Linked DNA regions of Drosophila melanogaster. The protein of the gene in region 2 interacts with the protein of the main gene of each other region in a pairwise test. Each region holds a gene or a part of one and is shown on either strand. Other genes may lie near its edges.

What was found.
Region 1: the proteins of CG9396 (region 2) and CG13022 interact in a two-hybrid assay, tested with the Drosophila melanogaster proteins (one large-scale study listed by BioGRID).

What each region holds. Positions count from the first base shown.
Region 1 is NT_037436.4:16,933,458-16,944,325, reverse strand, and holds CG13022 (uncharacterized protein), read left to right. Parts: upstream 1-5,373; 5' UTR 5,374-5,383; coding exon 5,384-5,980; 3' UTR 5,981-5,996; downstream 5,997-10,868. Other genes in the region: Cpr73D (cuticular protein 73D), read left to right, coding at 1,603-1,730, 2,588-2,725, 3,509-3,690, 3,743-5,088; CG11905 (uncharacterized protein), read left to right, coding at 9,118-9,132.
Region 2 is NT_033777.3:9,563,187-9,573,922, reverse strand, and holds CG9396 (uncharacterized protein), read left to right. Parts: upstream 1-2,299; 5' UTR 2,300-2,434; intron 2,435-2,522; 5' UTR 2,523-2,543; coding exon 2,544-2,691; intron 2,692-2,749; coding exon 2,750-2,790; intron 2,791-3,173; coding exon 3,174-3,440; 3' UTR 3,441-3,509; downstream 3,510-10,736. Other genes in the region: CG9399 (uncharacterized protein), read left to right, coding at 404-569, 634-674, 1,169-1,426; CG16790 (uncharacterized protein), read left to right, coding at 3,783-3,880, 3,933-4,274, 4,336-4,672; CG16789 (uncharacterized protein), read right to left, coding at 4,943-5,117, 5,171-5,341, 5,404-6,312, 6,367-7,367, 7,460-7,699; Vps45 (vacuolar protein sorting 45), read right to left, coding at 8,059-9,491, 9,543-9,741, 9,805-9,897; CG9393 (uncharacterized protein), read left to right, coding at 10,401-10,487, 10,587-10,733.

The DNA of each region.
Region 1 (10,868 bases), on a different chromosome or scaffold from region 2:
TTTTCACTTTTCCAAGCCAACTTGGCAGGATGGCCCACACAGGCCACTTATGAATTTCCAGTTTAGCTATACTTTTTTTTTCTCATTTTAGTTTTGCTCTTTGGGTATGTGGTTCAATGGCAAACAGCAATACTCCAAGTGCAACTGCGACTGCCACAACTGGTTGCACATTTCCCATGCGTGCAGTCCGTTAGAAACTTGTCCTTAAAGCTCGACCACATGCCTATGAACATGGTCATTGGCAGCGGCCATATATCATTGCTATACCATATCTCCATGGCTCTCCGATCGCGATCGCATTGGGTTTCGTTCCATTGTCTCTGCGGTTGTGCGATTACAAAGCGCTTATGCTCGGAAAGCACTCGCTCCGATTGAGCGCACAATTAACCAATTGGTGAACTCTTCCGCCTTCTGACCAATTTGCATATGGCCAAAAAACAACGGCTATAAAGATTATCAAAGGCGGTAGTCTATGTGGATGTAAATATGGGCTAGCCAGAACTATAAACTATAACCAGAATCAAAGGCAACCAAGCGGGGCGGTCTAATCAGAGGGCCTGACATATCCCCAGCACATCCCCATCTAGAACCCAGAACAATGGCCAATAACTGTACTTGGAAGTGGCCAGTAGCGTCGCCACGCTAATTATGGCTCATTATAATGGCCAAGATTCAAGAGCCAAGATCCTAGGCGGAAATTGTCATAAAGTTCTGTGGTCTCCTCCAGCCGACGGGTAATTGCCTTTAATTGCATACCTGGCCAAAAATTGCTGCTAAGACACTGACCTAGACTCGCTCTGGATCGAACTTGTAATAAGCTCCGGCTAACGGAAAACTCAAAATGGAAAATTGATTCCCCAGCGATGAAGTTCAATGTTCAGAGTTTTGCGATTTGTAAGCTAAAGAGAGCGGGGCGGGGGGATGGTGCATTGTCAACAGGAAGAGAGCTCCAGGTTGCAACTTCGGGGAACAAGAACAACGTGAGCTAATTGACAGACAGCTACACAGGCACGATTTTCCATTTTCCGCTGGCCATTTCCCGCGGGTTTTAAGCCCCTTCCCCCACCCTCCTAAAGTGGCGAACAAGGAGCCATAAAATAGGAGAAACACAGCAGCAGCTGCAACAACACTTGCGTGTCCATCATTAGAACGAATTCTCTCACCTGAGCCCCGCGCCCACTTTCCGCCTTTTCTTGTAACGCAATTTGCACACAAATGCTGCTGTTTCATCTTCGTGGCTTTGGCTCTTTTTGGTGGGTGGTCAGGTGAGACAAGCAGCACCACTAGCTCCACTAGCACCACCATATGACGCCGCACGAACCGCTCGCTGAGCCGCCTGAGAATCGTATTTAAATACGAAGGTCTAACGCTGGATCGCATCAGTCGTCGCCGTCGCGTTGTTCTAGCCGCTAGCTCCTCTCGAAGATCGCAAACCAAGTCGGAGTTTAAGACGGGTTCCAAGATCGGATTGGCAGACGATCGAATCGAATCGGATTTGTTGGGGGAATATAAGTTTATGTGGTGACTGTGCACCTGGAACAGGATGCCCGTTTGATACTTGTTTCATCTCTCGATTGGATTAAAACGAATGCGATTTGAATGATGTGGCATCTGCATCGGCACGCGAATTCCCTTTTGCTTCTCTGCGCAGTTTTAGGATACTTTTCGGATCCTGCGAGAGCCGAAATCGAGTACAATACCATCAGCGAGGATGGATCTTTTCAGTTTCGGTACATAGATGTGTGACAAACTATAGTGAACATTTTTAAAGGATATTAAGCACTGAAAAAAAAATTGGCATTATGGATTAAATGGATATGCATTTAATTGCAAATGCAACACCCTGTGACTCAAGAAATTTGATGAATAGTTTTTGTTACAATTGCAAAATTTTGAATTTAGTAAAATTTTCAATTTACCTAAAAATGCTTTAAAAGGCAGGATATTTTGACAGAAATTAGTAATTTCCTTCGTAATACGATTATCATAATACCTACATCGACTAAGATTTTTAATAGGATTTTAAAACTTCACAATAAAATTAATTCAGATAACATTGAAATTAATATTTTTCAATTTTCAACTCATTGCATTAGTCATCACAATAAAAAAACTTAACCAAATAACATAATTTACATTAAATAGAATAGAACTTTCATTGTCGTCCAATTTCCTTTTAAAAAAAGGATTAAAAGTAGTTAGTCGCTGAAAATAAGAAATAACCTTCCCCAATTGCGTACAAACTTAGCTGTTTGGTAGAATAATAAACCTTTTGAAAAGAGAACAACTCAATTACAGTTTTTTAGCAGCCATGGGTCATAAATCTAACAAATCATCTAATCGGTCAATGATGTCTGCTACCTTACCATCACCATTACACCCGAGAAAATTTGAGATTTTTAGCACCTCTTTAACGCCTCAACGTTTTGCAACCACAACAATAACACGCTTCCGACCATCTTTCCCTCTCCATTTCGCACGCATGGGGCAACGCAATTACTTCTGTTTCGATGGATCCCACCTGGCATGGATAATGGATATGCTGCTGCTGGTACTGCTACTGCTACTGCTTCCAATCGGCCAAAAGACATGCAAATGATGACATTGGCGGCTACTATCACAGCGCCTCGGGCACTCCGGACAACACGGTGCGAGGTCGCTACGGTTCGCGGAGTCCGGCGAGCGGGCAGATCGAGGAGACGGTCTACACAGCCGGACCACGTGGGTGAGTAATCGAAGACGGTAGCCAAGACTAGTGGGTAAAGTGCGCTGGTGCACTGCAAGAAAATAGTATCATTTTAGAGTGCATATGTGTGGAGAAAAATGCATTTAAAATTGATGATGTCAAAATATGCGTAAAAGAAAAACATAATTTTTAAAATATATGTATTTCAAATGTTTTTAAAAATAATTAGGCAACGATAAGTTCTGTGGGTATACATGACTCGAAGGTAACTTCCTTGAGGAAGGTCGGCGGTTTTTTCCTGAGTGTATTGGCCGCTGAGGAAGTGGCAGCACAAAGTGAGTTATCTCCCCTCGATGTCAGAGTTGAGCTCATATATCAGCGGTTGGCGGCAGGCGGCGGCCACTGAAGCGAAACCCAAACAAACGGAGGGGGATCCATGGAGTTGGAGCCGTTCTAACACATTGGACTGCTTTTTCTGGCGTTGCCTAAACGTTTTTCCATTACCGCTTCGGCGCTACTGTTGTTTTTTGCAATCTCCGGTAAATCGGGGGAAACAAAAAGCTGTTAACAAATTGACTGGCCTGAGAGATTCGAGCCAAAAAAAAAAGAGGAATGGATTGTAGATGGCAGATGCTCAACGATAGCGATGATTCTGAATGGGATCGTTCCCCGAGATGTGTAGTAATCGAAGTAATGGCGTGCCGGGCTAAGATCGAATCTATATTCAAAATTGCAGTGCAAGTCCGCTTCCGCTGAAAGGGTTTACCCAATCCCCACTCATTGTGTCGGTAGCTAATTAATCTCCCTCTATTTCCCACATAGATTTCGCGTGAACGGACCGAAAATCCATCGGAAAATGGACCTGGCTCAGTATCCGGTACTGCCGCGGGGAAGTCCGGACGATCCGCTGGCCGATCCCTTCGACGATCCATCCTACAGCTTTAGTTTTCGCACTCCGGATCAGTCGCGCAGCGAGGAGAATGATTCCGGGAATAGGATAAGAGGCGAGTTTAGCGAGTATGGTACTTAAGAGTATATTAACTGATTCTATCCCAGGTCTGTACTCCTATTTGGACGACGTGGGCGAGCGGCACAGTGTTCGTTATGCAGCTGGAGCCGGAACCGGATTCGAGATCTCCAACGCTGTGCCGGACAGCCCATCTGTTGTGGCGTACTCCAGTCCTCTGTACACGTCCCATCCCAAAGCACGCGGCAAGATGTCTGTGCAAAGGGGGCCGGCTGGAAGCTATAAGCTGATCGCCTCAGGTTCGGATCACCGACGGGCAGAAAGTCGAGCACCCGATGGCCTGGTGCGAGGAACCTACTCCTTCCTGGACGACAAGGGCGTGCAGCGGACAGTGGAGTATATAGCTGGAGCAGGAATTGGCTACCGGGTGGTGCAAAATCGGATTGGTCCTGGAACCCATAACAATCCCTCTGTGGCTGATTTTCGTTTGACAGATCCAGATTTCCGACTGGCTAATGATTTTGGCAGGGGTGCTGGTGGTGGCTTAGGTCCGAAGGGAGGTGGTGGTGGATCAGGTGGGGGAAGTGTTTCGGTAGGAGCTTCGGGGCCAAGTGGTGGTGCAGGTGGAGCGGGAAGGGGCCGTACTCCAAGCAGACCCGGAGGCAAAGATTACCTAAAGCCGGCTGATGGAGCAAGAGATAGGAATCGTGGAGATGGTGATGCTGGGGCAGCTGATGAAAATCTGGGACACCATGCTGATGACCAAGGGGATGACATTGGGCTTGGCAGCAGCTCCTCTGGTTCCACCAACTTTAATGGCAAAGAAGACAGAAGAGGGTTCCCTGCGGGTAGTCCGCAACGGGGCAGTACTAGATACGATGCCGGAGGTGACAGCTCTCAGAGAGGTGGTTCAGGTAGCTCCACGAGAAACAATGTTAGTGGGTCCCGAAACAGAAACCGATTCGGCGGCGTTGGTGGAGTAAGTGTCTCCTCTGAGCGGGGAGCAGGAAGGGGAGGTGCTGCCGGTGGTGGAAGCAGTCGTCGAGGAGGTGGAGCTGGAGCCTCCAGGGAAGGCGACTCCGGCCTGGGCTACCTGCCGCCCACAGGTGGATCGGGCACCAGTGCCATGAGCGGACCCGGGGACAATTACCACCTCAACGATGACGATGTGGGCAGTTCACTGCCTCCTCTGGTCACCGCCAACCACCGAATTCTAGAGATCGACAGGGATCGGGAGTGGGTGCAGCGACACCGCGACTCCACCGTCATCAAGAACGTGGGTAAATGGTACGTGGGCCTGCCGCCTGGTCAAAGTGTGCGTGCCCATGTCCAGAACATCGACATAATACCCTTGGGCGGAAGGATCGGACTTTCGCCGTCGGAGGCACTGCGTCAGGATGAGATCGCCGAGCTGAATGCCTCAAGGGAGCACTAAGCACCCATTGGATCTGTAGATCTGTAGTTTGTAGTGCGTAGCTCTAAGTGATCAGTGTTGAGTAACCGAAACTGGGTTGACTCCACATGGAAACTAAAACAGTATTTAAAGCGGAATACATTTTTTGCCTGTATCTGTATCTCAAACTGTATCTGTATCTCTAGCGAATAGTTATTTGATATCCGTGGATCCGGGTATAAGCAGGTTAATCTGCACATTGCGGTTTCCTTGAATCCACATATAACCCCATGACTTAGCATGCTCGGAGTTTAGTTGTTTCTGAGACTTGAACATGATGTTGGTGCTTTTCATTGCTTCGCTGATAGTTTCCTGTGCTCAAGGAGCGCAAGTGTATATGCAGTTCAATGGACAAGGATACTCCTACAACACGGATGGCGATAGATTGGATAGGAGTGTCGTTAAGCCTAGTTTTGGGGCATCTTCTCTGGATTCCTTTGGTCCGCTGAACTTTGTGCATCAATCTCTGAGGACAAGACAGAATCCACTTTCCCGGATTTCCTACAATACACAGGATAACCTAGCAGTGGCAACATCTTCGCTGAGTGCGGGCTACCAATTAGCATCGACCAACCACCTGAAGCACCGGCAAAGCCAGCAAAACTTTGATTTCAGCACCGACCAGATGTCGCATGCCCAGCACACCGATGAGGCGGGAAATGTTTTGGGCAAGTACTCCTACTACGATGAGGCTGGCTACCATGAGCTGAGCTACAAGGCGGGCGCCGGCATCGGATTCGTGGTCATGGGTGGCAATTTGGCCAAGGCCACCACCGCCGCTGAACCGCACTCGGAAATCGAAATCGGAAACGGAATCCAAACAAATGCCTTGACTAGCCTGCAAGAGTTGCATAAATATCGTGGCTACACGTAAATAAAATATATTAGCCAAAACTATTGCTCGTTCTACTTGGGTGTTTTGCGTTATTTACTGGAAGTCTTTGGAGATCTGACAGTGTCACCTGTCGTGTTTGAGACCTACGTGATCGGGGATCTGAACTGTAAACATATGTCAAAGAATGAATGACTTGTAAAACAGAGTTCATTCAAAGAAAAGAGTGCAGCTTTGCTTGGTTATAGAATGCAAGCAATAGTCAAATATTATCGAGAGCTCTGGATTTCATAACTTCTACGCGGCACAAAATTATCTTTGGATCGGAAGACATTATATTAACATTTATAAATAATGGTGAAATTAAAAAAAAAATGTACGTAAAAATAGATGTCCAAAAATGTATGAATTCTTTTTGTAATTGTAAATCTTGGAATATAATATTATGCTAAATAGGACGGTAGAAAGAATATTTTTCTTCATTTTAAAAAGAAACATAACTTGAGTTCCATAAAAGCGGTCATCGCATTAATAGAAAATTTTCTTGCCTGGACATAATTTTTAAACGTTTTACAATAAAAATGTTTGCATAAAGTAGATAAGGGTAAACATTGTCAGTTTCTGATCGTAAATGATTGTAAGAGCTTTAATTGCTTGTGGCGCGTGCTTTGGCACGATACAACTGCGGCGATTTATGCATGTTATAAACCCTAATTGATTTTCCGATCATAAAAATGGTTATATTCGGTCGCACAAAGTCATTTTACAAATGGACAGTGCATCCCAAAGCCAAATTGAGTCAGCTCTGTGGCTTATTTATTTTTGTTTGGGCAATTTCATGTCGGAAAGGGACCAAAATAATACAGCATTTGAAATGTTCGACGCGTGCGCGCACTTGCCAAATAATTTGAATCGAACGGAAAGCCTTGGCGTCCACGGCGTGGCCTAAATAAAATATATTTCTGGCCGCGCGAAGCCAAGAAAAGCCCATAAGCAATAATAATATGCATATTTGCTAAAACAAAAAGTTATTACATGGGCCAGTTTTGACCGAAAGTTTCACTGCCACAATTAAGTTTTAATGTCAAGAGATCTAAGCGAGTGATTTCCCTGAAACAAGTTCCTACGCACTCGAAAACTTTCTTCGCCGAATGCACTAAAAGAACGTACAGAAGAGCACTAAAAAGCTTGCCATAGCTTGACATAGATTCTATTCGGCCGGGTCTAGGGTTTGTATGGCTGAAATGGCCACGTTCTCAGCGTAGAAATCAATGGCTCACCTGGGAAGTAGCCGAGGTGCATAATTGGGTTAGCGTAGCAGCAGAACGGCCTGCATTGAAACCACAAATTACTGGGGCTCCGGCTCTCCCAGGTGCCAGTTAGCTGTTTCTGTTTATTTTCCCCCTCATAAACAACGGTTTGGGCTGGGATTCTCCTCCTCGCCGAAGGTCAGACTTAATTGGCCCGGGCCTAGGCAACGACATCCCACTAGCAGTCCCGTTTCGCCTGCATTTATAAATAGGCCCCAAGGTCTCTGGGTCTTGGGTCTTCGGTCTTCGGTCTTCGGTCTTCAACTTCTCGACTCGCTCTTCGGCTGCTTGGATTTCAGTTGGGGTTCGATTTATCGCCTTTTGATTGCTGCATTCCAATTGTGGATCAAGTGGTGCGTGTGGCGCATTCGGGGCTTACAACGTGTTGCTGCTAATTTCGTATGCTCCCTTCGGCTCTGCGCACTCGAAACCATAAATCTTGTGGCAATTTTATTGATGCCTGCGTGTGCCACAAAGGTCGACCCCCCGTTCGATGCTGCTTAATCAAGGAATATGCATTATTTCACAGCGCAGTCAGTAGCTGGCTGCTCGGGGCATAAAAGCCAATAAAAGAATAAATTGCAGTTGTATCACAGCAAAGTTAATCACAAAATTAATGGTTCTGGGCTAATAAAGACTGGTCTGCAATGAAAACAAATGACTTAAGGCACGAACCTGAAATCAATTTCTCTGATTTCAGACATTTGTTATTCATGATTATCGATCAAAAACGGTCCGAAGCTAAGTCTTAATCCTGACATCTGTTGATACCCGAGAAGTGTGTGAAGTCTTCACGCCGAAGTGCTTGTCAAATCAAAAAAAAAAAAAAAGAACATGACTCTTGAGTCACTATGTGCGAAACTTTCTAACGAGTTCCAGGCAAACATTTTAATTGAATTGCCCGGCAACGAATCGATTCTTTCATCACGGTAAGTCTCTTACCATTTTGGCTTATGTCATGTTCTGGGCCCGTTCCGAGCTGATTACCTTTCCACTTCCCACACGCATTTCGCTTCTATTCTCGTGGCTCACTCCACTTGTAATGGCCAGTCACTTCGCTCCTGTCCAGTCACACTCAATCAAGCCAATAAACGGCCAATTAATCAAAGTCAGCGCTGTGATTCTGTGTTCTTGCTAGGTGCGAGTTTGCGAAACAGTAGACTGAAGAAGCGACTGTCAGCACATTTAATCAAATGCTTGAGAAATATCTGACAATATGTTAGGCAAACTATTTGCCTAACCCAAGGGATCGGGGAAGATTTCGATCTGCGAAATCCTAGAGTTGTAAGCCTGCATATCAATTGGTGTTGTGTACCCTGGAGCTGGTAACCAAATCCCACAGATCCACGCCCCCAGATAAAAGCCAGGCCAAGGCGCTCGACTACGTGCCCGAATCGCGGTCTTCTCTTCGACTCTCTCTTCTGCCCAAAACCCAGTTCTCTTACACCTGATCGGGCCCTGTTTTCTTGGCCATTTCTTTCGCTTCGTCGTTTGCATCGCTAATGGAAATGTTATAAACAGACGCGCTGGGCCCGGCCAGCACTCAGTTCATCTTCAGACGTCGCCTGGCTCGCTGGCTCTTGGTTCTTGGTAGGAGTTCCATTTCCAGACCCTATTTATTGTGCGTGACAAAAAAAAAGAAAGAAAAACAACGGAACCTGAAACAATCGTAAATTGAAAGCTCAGCAGGATTGGTTTTATAGTGCTTTTAGTGTGTGTGATTTTGCCGCGTGATAACCCAGAGTGCCACTCATTCCCGTTCTCGTTTGCAGTTCAAGGATATATTGTCAAGGCGAGGATTGGTCAACGCCACGAACACCAAGCATTTATTGAAAAATCTGAAACTATTCACCAGAACCTCGCGTTAAAATGCGCTTTCTTGTTGTAAGTCAAATCGCATAAAAAAGAAAATTAAATACCATGAATGACTTAACTTCACATTTTGGGAATACAAAACGAAACTAGTTTATACCTGACCGCAATTAATCATTTATTGCTCTGTGCTGCCGCTGAACTCATTAACTCGTCAACTGGCCCAAGTTCGTGCCTTAAGTCTTTTGTTTCTTTCACTTCTGAATCGACACTAACTTTCACTAAGCGACTTTTTTGATTCTTGGCTTGGTTCTTTCCTTTTTTTGATCGCCTTAATTAGCCTTAATTATGCTCTGTGCCATATGCAAATATTAATAAGAGTGCCTAAAATCTTTTTGGGGTTTATAATAATCACAAATCAATTTGGACGCAAAGAACTATATTGGGGAAACTTTTTTTTATATGAATGCAAAAGGTTAAGACTTCTTTGTGCCAGTTATTGTTCACTTAGTAAAGGTTTTTCAAAAGAGTTAATTCTTTCTGAAAAGTGAAACCCTTTTGTCCATTCCATTTGAACGTGACAATATTCTAGCCCCACCCCAATTTAAAAAGTGAGAATTAATCATTCATACCTAGGAAGTATTGTTCCTTGCATTATTCATATTCCCATTATGAAAAGCATGCCCTTAAAAGTCAAAACTCTACAGCGACTCCCATAAGCAACAATGCCATTCAATTATAACCACAACCAATACAACCACTTGGGTTGAAAAGCCCAAAAAATAATTATGACTCAAAGAACATAAAATTAATATGCCGCAAACGTATAAAAATCATGCGTGGGCTAACAAATGGTAATATAAGTCTTCTTTTCCCCCTCCCAACTATCAAACAATCGGTCACATTTGTGTGGGGTTCTTAACTATAAGTGCACTGGTTTGTTTTCGAGTTTGTGATCGTTTCGATAGTGGTTCATAAATTAATCAATTTATGAGTGTAGACAGTTAGCCACACGTCCCAAGTCCATCAATCCCTGCTCAATTAGCTGCATTGGAATGGCTCTGGAATATCATTTAAGACCAAAAGACACCTGATCGGATGTGAAGATCAGGAGACAGACTCATTTATAACTTGTTTGAGAACATAAAATGCTGCGCTTAAACTTTGCATTCGAGCCATTAACCCAGTTTATTTTTGGACAAGACACACCTGATATGGGGTCGAATCGGCATCGTTATGTGAGGGCAATATAATAAATAAGGCGAAATACACAAAAGAAAGCAGACAGAAATACATCTTACTGCTTGGGGATGCAAGAGTTCTTGCAAATCAATGGCAACCAGGTTCGACAGCCTCTGCGCCAGAATCTCTTCTCTCGAGTTACGTTTCGGCACCGAAATCGTAACAGCCGCCTAGAGGTTCAGGTCAATGACACAACACGAGCCTCGACTTCGAATCCAGCTTTGGTTTTGGCTTTTGGTCTCAGTTCCTCTCGGCTTTGTGACATTTCGGCGCTGATAGATAGGCGTGCGGGCTGGTCGTTTCCACCGGCTAACGGTTGCGTCAATATTGACTTTGCCAAAGATGTGGAGAGCCGGCGAGAGTGAGTCAAATATTTGCCGATCGTGAGGTTCTTGACAATCGTATTCGAGGGAAAATCCGTCAAGTACATAAGCCGTTCCTTGCCACCTGGCTCTCACTTTTCGGCGTAGCTTTCAGCAGCGAAAGAAATTATGCAAATGTGCTGGAGGAGCAGGGAGAGAGAGACTTTCGCGACTTTCGGGACTTGACCGCATTCCACACGTGTG
Region 2 (10,736 bases):
GGAAATTGGCACACTCTCCTCAAGGTCAAGGATGTTGTGCGATAGCTAATGAACCTGTGATCGTGCAAAAACCTGTTCCTAAAGATGAATGCATGATTTTTGCACTTTTTAGAAAGTCAAGTACGAGTTGTAGGTACAATTGTATAGGTATTTCCTTAACGTGTCAAATTAAACACGTTAGAAAATAGCGCGCTCAGCTGTTCGAGTTTGCGGCTGTGTGGGTGCTAGCTCTCTCTTTTGCTCTCTTTGTCTTTTTCGCTCTCTCACGAAGCTTTTTGGCTTTTGTTGTTTAGCGTTTCATAGTAGATTTTATTTTGTGATTGCCAGCCAACGAGTTTGGACGCATAAATTATCATCACTGCAACCCGTGGAATTTTTTCGCACAAATAGCAACAACAACAAAATGTCGTCCACAGCCGTTCAGCCACCGCCGCCCGTTCCCCCGCCGCCACCATCGGCCGTCCCTTCCGCCGGAAAGGGCATCCACTCCAAGCTGTACAACGGGATGATTGGCGCCGCCGACAAATTTGTGCCCGCCAAGCTGCGGCCACTGTGGATGCATCCAGCTGGTAAGCCTCACATAGACCACTATGCTACATAAAGAGCACATCTTTAGGTTCGGTTTGATTCCAGGTCCCAAGACGATATTCTTTTGGGCACCCGTCTTCAAATGGGTAAGTAGACAGAAAGCCAGACGGATGGGATTACATAACTCGGACAACGCACGACCTTCGCTGATTTTCATTATCGCACACATACTATAGTTCACCATAAATCCGAAACGACGGTAGACAAATCTGAGCGCAGGTGCCATTAAATGAAATTATTTGATTATTTCGAGCAACCTGCGCTTGATAACAACCGCATACGGTTGTGTTCGTGAGCGGATTGCCTTCTGTTGTGGAACCCTATGAAAAAAAGTTTCCCAAAAAAATCAAAAACTTTTGATTTATTTAGTTAGTTTGTTTGTTTCGATAGTAGGCATATAGATGCCTCATACTTATGTACATACATATATCAAGCCACAAATAAATAAAACAAAGAACAGCCAGTTGAGATCTCCCATAGCGGCACTAAAACATAGAAACTGAAGATGCCTAAGCATATCGCGTCCTTTAGTTAAAACAAAAATTAAATAAGCAATCGAATCCTTTATCTCCTTTGCCAGGGTCTCGTTGCCGCCGGCCTGAGTGACTTGGCCCGACCGGCCGACACCATCTCCGTGTCTGGATGCGCCGCCCTGGCTGCCACGGGCATCATCTGGTCGCGTTACTCGCTGGTGATCATACCCAAGAACTACAGCCTGTTCGCCGTGAATCTCTTCGTGGGCATCACGCAGGTGGTGCAGCTGGCACGGGCCTACCACTACCACCAGAGTCAGGAGAAGCTGAAGCAGGAGCAGCAGCAGCCGGCGGTGCAAAATTAGATACATATCGAATCGAATACCGGTGCTGTCCCCTTTATATAGACTTTAATCGAACTTTTATGTACATACAAATCCCACAACGCGCAACGTAAACGAAAGGATTAAGAGGAAGCTGTACTAGCAGATCGCGAAACTGCGTTTTACAACCTGTTAACCATTATTATTTATGGTTCACCGCCTTATCGACGTGATTCGTATTACTTAAGTTGTAACTGTGGAGGCTTTGCGTATAGTTAAATCGAAACGAGAATGATAAATCAATACATTTTAAGACTTTAGTCACTAGATAAACGTAGTTGTTCGTTTTATTAAAGTGGATGTGGCCCAACATGGTGGCCCAACAATGGGTTATATTCAGTAATATAAATGAACCAAACTGGCTAAAAGATATTTTCTTAAAAGTATTATTTTAAGTATGCCAAATTAGGAAAACATATCCAAAAGGCAAAGGTAATCAATATCTTATTCTTTGATTTAATACAATTATGTTTGACTGATTTAAATGAAATGAGCTGTTATTACAATAATTGCAAAAGAGTAGAAATCCTTAGATTGCAATAAAACCGGATTATCAAGAAGATAACTCATACGCCATGTGTGATGAATCTATTTGCACATTCGCTGTTCGATAACTGTGTTGAGTTTTACACAATTAGTCAACACAAATTAATTAAAAACCAATAAAAGGAGAATATAACTAAGAGCTTATATTAGTTTTGCGGCAAAAGCAAAGTGCAAAAAAAGGGGCTGGCGTCGTCGTATTCCAGTGGCTGATAGTGCTGGTGATAACAGGAGCGCTAAGCTAATAATACTAGAGAAACATAAACATATGTGCATGGACCCCGGACTTTTCGGAAAGCTCAGTTGTAGATGGACGCCTGGTTGGAGCTGTTGTGCCTCAGTTTGTTCAGGAGCACTACTTCCCAACTGGTTTATCGCAGTCCCAGGCGATTGTTATTCCAGCGCTTCCAATCAATCAGCCCATACTCAACAAATACTTGATTACAGGTAGGCCATATAGAATTCCTCTCAATTCGCAAACCTGACCAGCAGTTACTCTGTGCATCTGCTATTGGTTGGACGTTGGAAAATATAGGAAAAACAGTAGCGTTCCGGAATGTCTGCCACTCCTCCAACAACACCTGCGCCCACGGCTGCAGCTTCCGCCGGAAAGGGTCTTCACTCCAGGGCATATAATGGACTTATCAAGGCCTGCGACAAGTATGTGCCCCCCAAGATGCGACCCTTGTGGATGCACCCAGCAGGTGATCATAAATAGAAGCATTTTAAGCACAGAGAGGAACTAACATATCTTTCCTTCAGGACCCAAGACCATATTCTTTTGGGCTCCAATCGTTAAGTGGGTAAGTTTTTGCACTACTTGCATAACCATGAACCCTGCGTCCTTAGCCAATTCCCATTATCACCGTACTGATAAACAAACCTGTGGGCGAATATTGTGTTTTATTATTATTTGTTTAGTTCTCGGCAAACCTGTTCAAGCCCGCGATAAATATGTATATATGTACTTATATACCATTTTCCTCTCCACGCGCGAGATTCTGATAACTGAATGATTGTGCGGTTTGTGGGGCTCATGGAATATTTCATAATACTTTTACTGTTTTGACTGGGGGGAGCTTTGCCAACATGCTATTCAGATTTGCAGTCAATGGGGGGACTTACCCTGCACTATCGGCCAGATCTCCCTAATCTCCGCAACCATTCCGTTTATATTCCACCACAGAGCCTCGTTATCGCGGGTCTCAGTGATTTGACGCGTCCTGCGGACAAGATTTCGCCTAACGGATGTCTGGCTCTTGGGGCAACGAACCTCATCTGGACGCGCTACTCTCTGGTGATCATTCCCAAGAACTACAGCTTGTTCGCGGTTAATCTCTTCGTGAGTCTGACGCAGCTCTTCCAATTGGGTAGGTACTACAACTACCAGTGGGAGCAGTCGAGGCTGGAGAAAAATGGCGAGCAATGCCCGGCTATTGAAGCCAGTTTGTAGTAGTCCAATTTGTGCATTTCAATGGATTTAGTCTAAATAAAAACAAGTTTTAAGGCTTTAACGGTCAATACATTTAAAGTGGAAATTTTACAGTAAAAAAATGTTAAAAAAATAAGTACTATTTAAATAATTAAAAGTGAATTTTATAACTTTTTTTTAATGTTATTAATTGCAATTTAATTGCTTAAAACAAAATAGTTTATCAACATAAATTTAAAACCAAGCTAAATACACATCACTTTCAATTTAATCGATAAATGTAAATAAAAACCGCCGAACATTGTGCTGTTGGTCATTTCTTGTTTACTGCAATCAAATAAAAATACATAAATAAATAATAATATGGCCCTGGTGGACTATGGTGGCAGCAGCTCCTCCGCCTCCGAGGATGAGGACTGCACCGAAAACATTCAAACTCCCGCGTTGATCACCTTGAAAAGGTAACGTCCTTTACTGGAATACCCGTAGATTTCTACATTATAACCGCCAAAGACCGGCCCTACCCAAAGCAGCCACCCTGCTGGGCCCCAAGAAGCCCAAGCCCGAGGAGTTCGTCGAGGATGTGGTGGATGATCCCGCGGAACATGGCGGCCGCATGCGTAGTTTCAAGCATGAACGGGGAAACTGGGCCACTTACGTCTATGTGCCGGCAACAGCATGTGTTGACCAGCTGGAGGAGTTCCAAACGGAGGCCATTGCTCGTCTGGAGCCACACTTGGAACTGCAGCCGAACGAGTCGCTCCATCTGAGCCTGAGTCGAACAGTGGTGCTGCAGTACCATCAGATCGATGAATTCTCCCGATCCTTGCAAAGCGCCCTCAACAGCTCTGCGGGGTGAGATGTTTAACCAAGTTAAATCTAGTATCTCCCATCCTGATGACCAATCCTCTTTTAGATTCGCCGCCACTTTGCAGGGGCTGCGGATCTACACGAATGAGGAGCGAACCAGGACCTTCATTGCTGCGCCCCTGGACGCTGCATTTGTGGAGAAGATGACTGCCATTCTGCAGCCCATCGACCAAGTGATGCTCGACTACCGGCTGCAACAGTTCTATGATCCGGCCTCGTTCCACGTCAGCCTTCTTTGGTGCGTTGGCGACCAGGAGACACTGCTTAACGAAAAGCTCACGGAGTTAAAAGAGCTCCTTGATGATCAGGACAAACTCTGCCTGGCGGTCAATGAGGTGCACCTAAAGTGCGGCAACAAGGATTTTACCTACTCGTTGAAATAGGATATTGCCAGTCTTTAACTGAATCATAAATATTTATGCATGCTGATCTTTCAATTGGAATGTAGTGGAAAATATATATTGACTTTATTAGGTATCAAAAATGTAATCTGTTCCATATTAGCTCATATATATGAACATATAAATTGTAGTTTGCTAATAAAAGCAAGATTGTAAAGCAAGCCATAGCGTTGAATGAATGGTTACCATTAGCAATCCAAAGATGTTTCCTTACAAATTAGGCTTAAATATAAGAAGTCCAGTGATTACCTTTTAATTAAGACCCTTTTTCTTGTTACCATTTCCCTGCTTGGCCGCCTGCGCCTGCTCCTCCAGTAATCGCTCCTCCTCCAGCTCCAAAAACCGCTGACGACGGCGGCCGAGCGGGGTCTTCGACCACCAGGACTCGAAAGCTTCCTCCTCTTCGCGGTAGACGGGATCTCGTGAGCTGAAAGGCATGGAAACTAACAACTAACTAATTTCATAGCCAAATCTACTTACCACAGAACATTGATCAGTTCGGCATTGGTCAATGGTTGGGTGCGCAGCTGGAGTTTCCGCTTGCAGGTCATCACCTCCTTGAGGCACGCATCGATGGACCCAATGGTATAGCCATCTGATATTTTGGCCATGGCGCTGGTGTCCAGATTGGAAATGCCACCAGAGTAATCGCTGTCGGGGTGCAAACCAAATCAGTAGATTATTTTGCAAATGAATCCCCCACATTTACGCACTGTAACAATGTTTTCCAGGCATGTGACATGGCGCCGTAATCCGGTCGTGGAATATAGATGAACCGATTGTAGACGGATTGCAATAGCTTTTGATCCGCCTCCCAGGGCAGATTGGAAGTGCCAATGAAAACGACGCGATCCTCGGGCGCAATGTTCTTTATCAACTTGGGCAGATCCTTCTTCAGTCGCTTGGGATCTGTGCGATCCGTCTTTGGAATTTTCTTCATGAAGGGCCGCTCCGCATCGCCCATGAATATCACCGCAGGCTGGAGCAGTCGCGACACTTTCAGTACCAGATGGATTAGCATTATCAGTCCCGATTTGCCAGGATACTTGCCAACAATATTGGCAGGAGTCAGATCAAAGAGCACGGCACCCACCTCCGTGCAAATGGCGTGGAGCAGTGCCTTCTTCCCAGATCCTTTGGGGCCAGCTAACAGGATGGAACGTATCAGTGGAGTACAGTTATGTATGGCATCAGATCCCAGTGGAAGGATGCAGTACTCCGTGAGAATCTGGCGAATGTCGCCCGGTGAGGGATTAGTGCCAATCCTGGCAGTCAACGCCTTATCGCCCAGGAATTGCTTTAGCCTTAGCTCCGGGTATTTCCGGATTATGCCATTCGTGACCAGCTCCTCGTACAGCGACTCCGTAGTGCGATCCGGCGTTAGATCCTTCTCCTTCTTCTTTTTGCTCTTCTTGCCGGATCGCCGAGTTTTTTTGCTGCTCTTCTTCACCTTCTTGCCGACGGCCGTTTGGAGCAGCTCGATCTCCTGGCGCATCACATCGTCGACGGCGCGCCGAAATTCTAGCTCCACCTCCTGGTACTTGTCGCTGTAGATCATGTCCTCATAGGCCGCTTGGCTCAGCACACCGGTTTCATCCTTATCACGCCAGGTATCGTTAAACCTGAAGTTGTAAAAAGATTAAATTTGGATCAATTTATTATATATCTTTACTCACAGATCGATCTCCGCACGGATGTCTGGCAGGCAAACGGACGGTGCCGGCTGGAAGCTAACTTCCTCGTCTTGGTTTTCGTTGACGTTGAGGTCACCACTGCGAGCGGGTGACTTGGACTTATCCTTGGTCTTTCGCGACTCCTTGGAGGAGCGGGCCGACGAACGGCTGTGCTCGCTCTCAGTTCCAGGTCTGCTGAAAATATGCAATGAGCCGCCCTGATCCTCGGATGGAAAGTCCGGCAGCTTGCCAGTCTTGTCGTAGCAGTCCTTTACCCAAGCCCGAATCTCATCGGCAATGTCCTCCTTCATGCTGGCTCCGTGCTTGGCCCGAATCTCCTCCTTTAGTGCGTTCTGTCGCTCCTCAAACTCTTTGCCGTAAAACGCTTGCGCCTGGTAGCGCTTCTCGTTGTGTTGCAGCTTCTCCAGCTTCTCGGCTCGTTCCTTAACCACAGCCGGCGGTGGTGGCAGCATTCCGATTAGGATCATCTCCTCCATTTTGCGGCGCCGCGTTATCCGTCGGGCTGTGTGGCCACGCCACATCTTCTGAATCTTCATGGCAGCCAAAAGACCAGAGTCACTGCGCTCCTTTTCGGTGCGCTCCTCCGACTTGCCCTTCTCCTTTAGGATGCGAATCTCCTTCATGAAGTGGGCACGCAAGCGTCCTTGTCGCGCTCGCTCGTGCATTTGAAGCATCCTAATGGCTTCGATCTCGGTGGTAACCGTCTCCTCCAGCTCGTGCTCCTCAAGCCAACCCAGCTTCGTTAGGATCTCATGCATGGTCTTCTTTCGAAACTCTAGCTCCTGCTGACGCTCGCGCAGAAAGTAGCGTGGTATCCTCAGCTCCGTTTCCATGGGCGTCAGGCGCAGGCGTTCCACCACCTCGTCGTTGTAGCTAAATTCCATCAAGTCGATATTTACGAGATCGTGCTTCAGCTCCACCACTCGACCCAGACAGGCGTCTAGTAATTTACGCACCAACTGGCGCTTCTGAGGCTGAATCATCTATGATGAAAGATGAGAAGTAAACCAGAGTCAAAGGATATATCATCTCCTTATATATATCCCACTTTTGTTTAAGAAAGTCGTATACCCACATTATCATAGACATCCTCCAAACGATTGCTCAGACATATGTAGCGCAGATAGAACTCGTACAGACTGGACTGCAGCAAGGCCTTGGCATCCGCATCGGCGGCGACGGATCCGACCGCTGCATTCATGGTGGCCACCGTCGTCTCCACATCCTGGTGCTGCCTCTCATAGTCAATCGTGGATAGAAGCTCGCATTCATGCTGGGATTGGTGCCAGATATCATTGAAATATGTGCTGGACATGATGGTCAATGATACTCCTCCAATGAAAAATCAGATTCTTGTTTGAGCCAAACGAAACGTTGCCTGGGAGTTGCCAAGGAACTTTTTGCCGAAACGGGGTGGAATTATTGCAAGGACAACGAGAGTTTAGTAATTTTGTACACACATAGTTGTATATAATACATTTTGTCCAAGGCGTTGCCTGGTGTTACCCTCGAGAATAACAATAAATATGTTTACATGGTTACGCTTAAAAGGTTAAATAGTCCAATGGATTTGAATTGGTACAATGCATGGAATACCTTAATACATAATGCACATTCATATTTAGTTAATAAATAGTTAACAATATAATTGGGGCTATCTAGTCAAAATAGACTTTAAATGTTATCCGTGGAACAGTACTTGATCATGGATTTGGTGTGCTTAAACTGAATGCCACTAGTGGCGGCCACGACCTCTTGGATAAAACTCTGCGAGTTATGGATGGTGGTGCCGCCAAGAATGACTTTATAGCCGGCGTTGTTTAACTGGTGCACCGCTAAGGCTTCCTCGTACGTGGCACCGCCAATAATGAACACGACAACCTCCTGCGGTGGTCGTCGAAATGGCACAAGCTCTGAATTGATGGCCGGGAAGAGGGGATCCAGCTCGCGGCCCTTAAACACGTCCTCCAAAGTTTCCTTCAGGAGAGGAGTGTGCTGTGTGAAGACATTTTCCACACCCTTAAGGCCCTTAATCAAATTCCGTGTCAGCTTTACGGCGTCCGTTATCCGCACCATATTGAAGAGATCTCCTTGTCGTACATGGGTTCCAGCATACTCAATCAACGATGGCACTATAGCCGCTCGTCCACCGCGCGTTTTGATTATTTGCAGCAGTCCAGATGTGTCGCAGTTGGCGTGTCGCTCGTATCGCAATGCATAAAGTGCCACCAACTTAAGAGCATCATCGATGGAAACCCGTTCGTCGGCAATTAGTTTTTTGATTCTCTGCAGCTGGGCCGAGTGCTCCGCCTTGCAAGCGATCTCCTGTTCAAGTTCGGAAACCTCGAAGAGATTCCTCTTGTTGCTCAGCGCCGACAGTTCTCCAATCACACACAAATGCTTTTGCACAGTGCCAGACATTTTTTTAAACTGCGGATATGACTCAATAAAGTTCTTCATGTCTGCTATGCTCTCCACTTTCTTGTGGTCGTTCGCCTTGCGCTGGAACTCCTCCATCAGTTGTTTGATGGTAGATCCGATTTCGCCGTAGTTGGCGTACATGTTGTTGCCATAGAAGTCATCCTGATCACCGGATAAGACCAGCTCCTTGAAGTCTTTCGGCACATTGGGGCAATTGGACAGGTCCAATCGATTGTTTTTTATGTGCAGCAACTCATGCACCATGGCCTGGTATGTCCACTGATGCAAAAGCGGCGTCACAGGATCGTCCCTGCGGTCCAGCACAAGCAGCAGCGGTGGCGCAGCGCCATCCATGTTGGAGCGAAAGTCGAATAGCGAGGACTCTTTTGTGATTTGCTCGTATATGAGCTTGGCCAGAAGCTGCGCTGCCTGAGAACCGGCTCGGTACCGGATCACTGGGTTCAGCTTAAGGGACAACAGCACGGCTGTGATGCCCTGCATGCTGCGGTTGAGAGCGTCCGGCAGCCAATTAAGATTCGCCATGCAATTGGGAATGCCTAATGAGAACAGATTGGGGTTGACGCACAGGTAGTCTGCATACAGTTCCTTCACTTCTCGCACCGATTCGGATTCGTCGCACTCTGCCAAGTATTTAATGTCCGTCCGGGGAATGATGTTGCTGAAATCTATTTATGAGTTTAGTACTATTCCGAAGGTGCTTCTACTGACCCACTTACAAATGTAGTAGGCGCTGTATTTGGGGTTCCGCAACTCGTTGGCCAGTAGCTGGATGTTCTGCTTGGTGGGGCGTATAAAGACGATGCATTTTAGATACTTTAACCGCTCGTTGGATCTTCCCGAGTCCAGGCGCTCAAATAGGTACACCTCCCGTTGCAGCATGTCCGATTGGCTAAAGGCCATCGAAATTATACTGGTCTGCGAATGATGTGAATTTTTGATCATATGGCAGGGGATTTGATTGTCAGTCCTTGCACTTACCGTCTCCTTGTCCAGCAGAATGATTTTCATGCCCGGTCCCGACTCGGAGCACATTTTCTCGATGTACAACTTAATGCCGCTTATCAGATTCATGACTGCTAACTAATTTACTGCGAAAATCAGAAATTAATGTTTTTTTTCGCAAACAGATGGGTTGGAGATGCCCCAATTGCGATAGCTCCGTGATAACAGCGGTGACCAAACATTTGGGTAACATTCGCTAGATCTAGCTAATGTAAAATAATGTGAATATGTAAAAATGCATATAGATAAAAACTTACAATTTTTTGGTAGTATAATAAAAATAGCAATAAAGATAAACATAAATAGCAATTAAGCTCAAACATAATTCCGTATCTTTTCATTAGCCAAAATAAACTTCGAGTAGCAACATCCCTGGCCGGCAATCGATAAAGCGCCGATATGCTCGAGCGATATATCGAGTGCCCAGTAGTTATCAGTCTGAAGCACTCGCAGCAGTCGGCCAGAAATTCTGGCATATATTTTTGGATTCAAATTCGGATGGCTGATATGCAGGTGGACTGTTGAAAACCGGCTAAATACAAGAGTACGAGCAAAGCATAGACTAGGACACAATGGAGATGCAACTGGGAGCCATGCTGTATGTGTACAAGGGGGAGTACGGACTGCCGTCCATAGATTTTGAATGTTTACGTGCTCTGGTAAGTTCCGTTGCATCACACGGCGGCCAGCACGCCTGTTTTGCCCATTATCGCAGATGATGAAAGAAACTGATGAAAGCGCCTCTTTGCCGGAAACAGTGCCTCCTGCGATTCACCCGCTGCCCCATGGACGTGCAGACCAGCTCCAATCCGCTGCGTTCGGGAGCCGGGAAGCTGCCGTATCTGCAGATCGGCAACCAGAAGTTCGCGGGCTATAGGCAAATTAAGCGCGTGCTGGATCTCGAGGTG